Linked DNA regions of Canis lupus familiaris. The protein of the gene in region 1 interacts with the protein of each later gene in a biochemical or structural test. Links are inferred from orthologs where the notes say so. Each region holds a gene or a part of one and is shown in the gene's direction. Other genes may lie near its edges.

Region 1 (4,046 bases):
AAAGATGGTGAAAAGGTAAGAAGAGGAGAAATTCTGCACAATTTTCAGGTCTGGCCTGTCATTCTGTTCTCCTGCGGTGTCAGAGCAGCTTCTTTACTTTCCCTGGGAGGAGTTTACAGAACCAAGCTCCTCTGATCCCCTGGGGCCTCCACCTTAGAAATGTGCCGGACAATAGGAAACAAGCCTGGCCCAGGGCGCCACCTGCTGTCTGTCTTCCCTCCTGCACCCTGGGCTGGGAGAGCGCTTCTGTCTTGGTACTAACCCATCCTTGCTCAATTACCAGCAGCCCTGAGCACCTTCTGCCCTTCTTGGTGGCACCAGGTCTCCCTTGGTCTGGGAGTCAGGTAAGGTATCAGGGTTTACGCCCTTGAAGTCTGACATCAGAGCCAATGGCTGTGGCAGATGGTGGGGCCTGAGGCTTATTCTGTGATTAAAAATCATTTCTTGCACCATGTCTGTGCTTTCCCAGTCTGGAGCAGTGGGAATATGACCACCATAATGACCCTGACCAGTGGGGAGAGAGGAAGGAGAGGAGACTAGTGATTCACTGTGCACCTTCCCTGTATGTTACCAGCTTGAGAGGACTCAGGATGCGTCGTCGTATCCTATTTTAGTCTCCGGAATTTGTCATCATCCAGCGCTATATTCCCCACCACGCAGAAGCGGCAGAGGGATTGGGGGCAGGCCTCTGTCTCCAAGGAGACTGTGACGATGTCCCGCTTGGGGCAGTTTGGAAGTGGACATCACTAGGAGGCTGAGGAAGGCCTTGGATTTGACCCCTGCAACACCTGTGTTAGGGCCTTCCTCTTACCTGCTTCAGGGCTTAGGAAGACTAGCCGCCAGCCCCTTTATAGGAGGGGAAACTGAGGCCCAGAAAGGGCAGGGAATCCCCTTGGGTCACAATGTGCCGCCGAGTAAGAGTCAGCTGAATCCAGGATCACGGTCCCGCGGATCTCCCCCCAAAGCTCAGGCAGCCCCTCCTAGCTCCATCCTTCTTTGAGCTTCCCAGCAAACCAGTCCCAGTGCGGGCGAGCCTTTGTAGCGCTCTCGGGGTCGCCGCTCCAAGACTTCGCCTTTAAGGCGCTCTTCCCCTTTAAGGTTCACGGCTCCAACCGTCACGCGGCGCCGCAGCCTTGAGGCCCCGCCCCTACAAACAGCTTCCCGCAGGGCAGCGTAGGCTGCGCGGCCGCCACGGCCCCTTTAAGCCCGAGCCCCGCCCCTGGCTCCCCGCCCCTCCCTCCCCTCCCCTCCCCCCTCAGCCCGCACCAGGTGCCCCGGCGGGTCGTGCGGCGCGGCGCGGCGCGCGACGGTGAGCGCCGGGTCCCGAGGGGGCGCGAGGACGCGTTCCGGGTCTTCCTCCGGCCCGGCCTGGTCCTCGCGGGGCCCGGGGGCGGAGCTGGAGCTGCGTCTGGGGCGGGGGAAATGGGTGGTCCGGAGCGCAGGAGGGGTGGGCCGCGACCCGCCGAATGGGGGAGGGGCTCAGGTGACTTGTGGTGGGGAAGGAATGGCTCCCCGCGGAGCTCGCCGGCGGCGGGCCTGGGGGCCGTGGGCTTGCGCGCTGGCGGCCTTACCACTCTTCTTCGCGCGCGCAGTGCCCCGGTACGGCCCGACTGTGGGATCCTGCTCCTCAGCCCCCTGGGGTCCAGGCCCCCGTGTGGGGGGCGGCTGCCGACCGGCCCGGCCGCCGGAGACCGCAGTCGTGGAGGCCGCCCGAGAGGCCCGGGCTGAAAGCCGAGGCCTTTGAGGGGGCGGCAGCAGGGCACCGGCCCCGTCTCGGATCCCTGGCTGAGGTGGGGGCCGTAGCAAAAGGCACAGCGGTGGAGGGTGGCGAGTGGCTCACAACCTGGGACCGACGTCTGCCCGCCTCCCCCGGCCTGATACGGGCTGAGTTGTGGGTTGGAGGAGGACCTGGCAGCGGGACCTCAGTTCCAAACCTTCTCTGCCCATCAGTGAGCTGGCGGTCACCATGGCAATGCGGGAGCTGGTGGAGGCCGAATGCGGGGGTGCCAACCCGCTGATGAAGCTGGCCGGGCATTTCACCCAGGACAAGGCCCTCCGGCAGGAGGGGTTGAGGCCTGGCCCTTGGCCCCCAGGAGCCCCGGCCTCTGAGGCGGTGAGTGTTCCCGAGGTGGAAAACTCAGGTCGTGGCTCCGGATGGAGGGGCCCCATGGACAGACAGTTTGGGATAACTGCCTTCTCTGCTGGGTCGCAAATAGGAGTAGCTATCACGACTAGTGAGTGTTCACTCAACACGGTGCTAAGCATTGTGCATCTTTATACAGATCAAGGCAGTCATTTTACAGGTGAAGAAGCGGGGGCTCAGGGAAGTTCTGTGACTTGCCCAAGGTCACTCTAGACGCTAGAGGCATTTTAACCTCTGCCGAGCGGGGTTGTGTGTGTGGACTTCATCACTGTACCCTATTGCCTCCCTTTCTTTTCTGTCTTAGGTCTCTAAGCCTTTGGGAGTAGCGTCTGAAGATGAGGTAAACGTGCCAGTCTGTTCAGTGCCCTTTTTCTTTTGCCCATCGTGTTTTTACTTTAAACCTGGCTCACCTATATTTCACCCTTTGGGCCTTCTTGACCAAGTGAGATTTGCCTTATTTCTTCTGCTTGTTTTTTTTTTTTTTTTTTTTTTTTTTTATGTATTATTTGAGTATTTCCAATTTGTAGTTTCTGGGTTTCTCTTTCCTTGTGTTTGACGTTATAGTCCCTCATTCACCGGGCCCTGTCTCTTGCTGAGTTCTTTTATCATCTTTCTTCTGGCAGTTGGTGGCCGAATTTCTCCAGGACCAGAATGCACCACTTGTATCCCGTGCCCCTCAGACCTTCAAGATGGATGACCTCCTGGCAGAGATGCAGGAGATTGAACAGTCAAACTTCCGCCAGGCACCCCAGAGAGGTGGGTCCAGAGTCTGGTGGGGGGGGATCACCATTTTCCATGCAAGTAAGACTGAGGGGGTTCCATATCTGGATGCTTCTGGCATTGAGGAACTGAGCTGCAGAAGGAGACAAAAGGGGCACAGTGTTTTCATGTGCACTCAGGATTCCTGAGGCATGATGCATAGAATGATATGCATTTCTTTTTTTTCTTTTTTCTTAGTTCTCTTTCTTTCTCTTAAGCTCCTGGTGTGGCTGACTTGGCCTTGTCTGAGAACTGGGCCCAGGAGTTTCTTGCTGCTGGAGATGCTGTGGATGTAACTCAGGATTATAATGAGACTGACTGGTCCCAAGAATTCATATCTGAAGTAACAGGTAAGGATGGTCATGGGTAAACCTAAAAGTGGTTCATAGTGGGGCAGAGTTCTGTTCTGTTCCCCCAGTTCATCTTAGGATATAGACTGACTTCAGCTTCTATGACTTTCCTGGACTCTTGATTCATTTCTCTAGGGCACTGAGCCTGATCTCCCTTAGGTGATAATAGGGAGTTATTGAAACTTACATGAAATGGGACTGAATTGGAACTCAGTAAGAGATTTTGGAGAGTATATGTATCTCTTTGTGTCTCTCTATGTAAAGAGAGAATAGGAGAGAGAACCCTTTGTTATCTGGAACTTTATTACTGTAGTTTGGTGGTGAAGACCCACAGATTGGATGGATGGCAGTATTGCCCAGGAAGAAATACTAAGCACAGCCCGTGGGATTCTGGCATTAAGTCATCTTAAACAGAGTTGAGGCCTTGGAAAGTGGAATTGTGTTCAAGGGCCTGACATATAAGGTTTTAGAGGGCAAAGACCATATCCTGATGACAGTAATAAATATAACAATAGCTAATATGTACTTATCATATTCTAGGCTTTGTATTAATTGGTTTCAATGTATTATCTGTTCGATCTTCATCAGAACTCTTGAGGTAGTTACTGTTTTTATTCCTAGCATATAAATAAGAAAAGAGGCTTTGAGATGAAGTGATTTGCCCAAGGTGATACAGTTTTGTAAGAGGTGGAGTTGGGACTTGACTCTGGCTTTGAATGATTCCAGACCCTGTGGGCTGAACCATGGTGCTCTTCTGCCAGGCCTGCACCCTAAGTTTTTCAGGGTCCCAGCCT
Region 2 (3,516 bases), on another chromosome or scaffold:
AACCGCCTCCGGGTAGATGATCTGCCACCCAGTAGATTTGTTCAGCAAGCTGAAGAAAGCAGCAGAGGTGCATTTCAGTCCATTGAAAGTATTGTGCATGCATTTGCCTCCGTCAGTATGATGATGGATGCTACCTTTTCAGCTGTCTATAACAGTTTCAGGGCTGTATTGGATGTAGCAAATCACTTTTCCCGATTAAAAATCCATTTCACAAAGGTTTTTTCAGCTTTTGCATTAGTCAGGACTATAAGGTATCTTTATAGACGGTTACAGTGGATGATAGGTTTAAGAAGAGGCTCTGAGAATGAGGACCTATGGGCAGAAAGTGAAGGAACTGTGGCTTGCCTTGGTGCTGAGGACAGAGCAGCTAACTCAGCAAAATCTTGGCCAATATTCTTGTTCTTTGCTGTTATCCTTGGTGGTCCTTACCTCATCTGGAAACTGCTGTCTACCCATAATGATGAAGTAACAGGTAAGAGTAAAAGAATGCATTCAAAAACCACATAACAATCTCAAATTTCAAGAATAGATTTATTAAATTAGCATTCTTCATAGTCCTTTGTATTTAATATTTTGATCCAGCTATATTTTCAGTTAAGAACTTGAAAACTGGAAAATGAGTATGTAGCAAAAATAAGTTTATGGATTTATTTATTGTTTGTTAACAAAACGGCACACATTGCCTGACTACTGTTTACAATATACTGAACTTAATACTGTAGAGGATACAAAGATACATAGGACATAATTCCCTTATCTTTCTAAAACTTACTGACCGGGAAGTGGATAAGAATATACAGGTAATTGTAATTTTGAGCTTAAAGAAAAAGAAAGTTCATAATCAATCGATATCGTAGTGAACATATTGTTGGATTTTATGCAGTGTTATAGAATTTACTTTGGGGGGTACTTTTCTCTTGGGAAGTAGATTTATGGAGTTTACAAATCATAGTCATAACTCTTATTTCTTAATTTGGTTTGTAGACAATACCAACTGGGCAAGTGGTGAGGATGACCACGTAGTTGCTAGAGCAGAATATGATTTTGCTGCTGTATCTGAAGAAGAAATTTCTTTCCGTGCTGGTGATATGCTAAACTTAGCTCTCAAAGGTAACAAAACATGAATAAATTGGAATTATCCATGAATTTTTTGAATTTGTAAATGTAGTATTAAAAACTGCAATAAAGGATCTTGTTCATTGTTAGTTAACTCAGAAGTAGTCGCTAGAATTTCTCTTTTCGTGTCAGTTTAGAACTTCCAAACCTGAGGGTGTGGAGGAGAAATGCCCAACAGAGTTGTTACAGTAATATTTCACTGAGATAGGGAAAGATTTTGTTTATATCATCTCTTCTAAACTCAAAACTTGAATTCCAAGCCCTGTTAACCCCTACACAAAAACATGAGGAGGAAAAAAAAACAAAAGACAAAAAACCATGAGGTAAGCACTATGTGTAATAAATCTAACAACCCAAAGAAATTATCCAGTGTCATGTAAGTATCCCTGTCAGTCTTTGCTTGGACTGGTATTGCTTTCTTTTTTATTTGAATGGTGTTTACTTCAGAAACACCAACATGAACATTTTAGGAATTACTGTCATGAATTTTTAAAGAATCTCAGCAAGAAATTTATACATATCTCAGGCTTATTTTTGGACTAGGACACTAATAGTTTTTAATGGCTCCAGGCAAAATAGCTTTTTTCCTTAGCTTTCCCCAGTAATGATGATCAAAATTTTTAATGAATTGGCGATGGGGAGGTTGTGTGTTTGTGGGGATTCAGGTTTGCTAGGAAAAATAACATTTTGTTGGTAAAGATACTAATGACAGTAACAGCTGTCCTTTATAGTACAAGGCACTATAGTTTAGATCCTGCTTTTAACCCTTACAAAAATGATATGAAGTGGGTACTATTATTGTACTGTCTCTGTTTTATTTACAAAAATCTAAGACTCAGAATGACTAAATTGTCCGAGATCACAAAGCTAAGATGTGATGGAGCAGGACTATGAACCTAGGTTTATCTGACTTCAGAACCTATACTTGTAAGGGCCTGGGCTGTTTCCTATGTGATCTTTTAATGGAAACTTGAACCTTTAATTAGTGTAATCATTTTTTATATGGGGAAAAATACCTTCAGTGTGCAAATTGTTTATTATATAAATAATTGAAAAATTTGGGTCAAATTTGCTAAATCTCTGCTTCATCCCTCATACATAAAACCTAGGTTTCTAAATATTATATTTTTCTTCTAGTGAAAATAGCAGTTAACTATTTTGAATTTTAAAAGAATAATTCCATTTTAAGATTTATTGTTAGAATTAGGACTCATAAGAATAATTAGTTTTAATGTAAAGTATAAAAAAGATCAAGTCTGGTTTCTTTCAATTACATATAATATTTCAGGAAAATTTTATATCTAAAATTATTCTTCCACTAATGATGCCTCTTAACACTTTAGCTTTGCTTCTTTTCTCCATTGCTCACGTAACGTACATCTGAGCATTTAGAACGAAAACAGTCACAAATATGGTTCATTTTGCGTTTTTTTTCTCTATAGTAGAGTATTAACACAATGTTATATTGTACCTGACTTATACTGCTGAACTAAAATGAGAGACAGCTTTTTACAGATACTCTGTATCTTTAAAATACCAAAATACAAAATTGAATATATTAAGTAAATCTTTCCTACTTCAAGCTTAAAGTATTGCCTTACCTTTTTTGTCATATGTCTAGAGATAACTGAGGTCTTTGTTTTTCCTCATCTTGAATTAAAATCCACAGCATTCACTATCTTCGGAATTGTTTGTTCATCACAGGGGCACTTGGCTGGCTCAATTGTTTAAGTGTTGGACTCTTGATAATCAGCTCAGGTCTTGATCTCAGGATTCGTGAATTCAGGTCATGCCAACATGGAGCCTACTTTAAAAAAAAAAAAGGTTCATCACAATCACATAGAATGAATTTTATATTTTGGCCAAAAGTATATAAAGAATCTGGCTGAATAAAGGTATATATTTTCTATACTTGCTTCTAAGTTCTATTGAAAAGAAATGAGAAATTCATTTCTTAAATTTCAATTTAAAATATGAAAGACACTGATGTTAGTTTTAGCTTTTGGGAGAATGAATCTCCTTACTCTATGACTGGTCCAACTGATATAAACTTCATGTTCTTCAAAGTTGAAAATATATTTAGTAAGTATAAAGTAAAAAGTATAAATTATAAGAAGCGACCCTAGAACTGTTAAGTCTACTCATCATTTGATTTTAAATGTATATACCATTTGTTTATATATTTTAGTGTGTAAATATAACACAGATTTTACATAATATTTTATTATCGATATTGTGTTGGACTCCAAAGTGTGTGTTATAATTACAAGGCTGTCTTTTCTTCCATCAGAACAGCAACCCAAAGTGCGTGGTTGGCTTCTGGCTAGTCTTGATGGTCAAACAACAGGACTTATACCTGCTAATTATGTAAAAATTCTTGGTAAAAGAAGAGGTAGAAAA

The links.
Region 2: the proteins of PEX5 (region 1) and PEX13 form a complex in vitro, tested with the Homo sapiens proteins (3 studies listed by BioGRID). The link is inferred for Canis lupus familiaris from reciprocal best matches to the Homo sapiens genes PEX5 and PEX13.

What each region holds. Positions count from the first base shown.
Region 1 is NC_049248.1:8,232,640-8,236,685, forward strand, and holds the start of PEX5 (peroxisomal biogenesis factor 5), read left to right. Parts: upstream 1-1,241; 5' UTR 1,242-1,309; intron 1,310-1,576; exon of another isoform or gene 1,577-1,599; intron 1,600-1,646; exon of another isoform or gene 1,647-1,790; intron 1,791-1,950; 5' UTR 1,951-1,966; coding exon 1,967-2,113; intron 2,114-2,447; coding exon 2,448-2,483; intron 2,484-2,766; coding exon 2,767-2,899; intron 2,900-3,120; coding exon 3,121-3,252; intron 3,253-4,046.
Region 2 is NC_049231.1:62,415,658-62,419,173, forward strand, and holds part of PEX13 (peroxisome biogenesis factor 13), read left to right. Parts: coding exon 1-472; intron 473-984; coding exon 985-1,110; intron 1,111-3,406; coding exon 3,407-3,516. UniProt on the Homo sapiens protein: Component of the PEX13-PEX14 docking complex, a translocon channel that specifically mediates the import of peroxisomal cargo proteins bound to PEX5 receptor.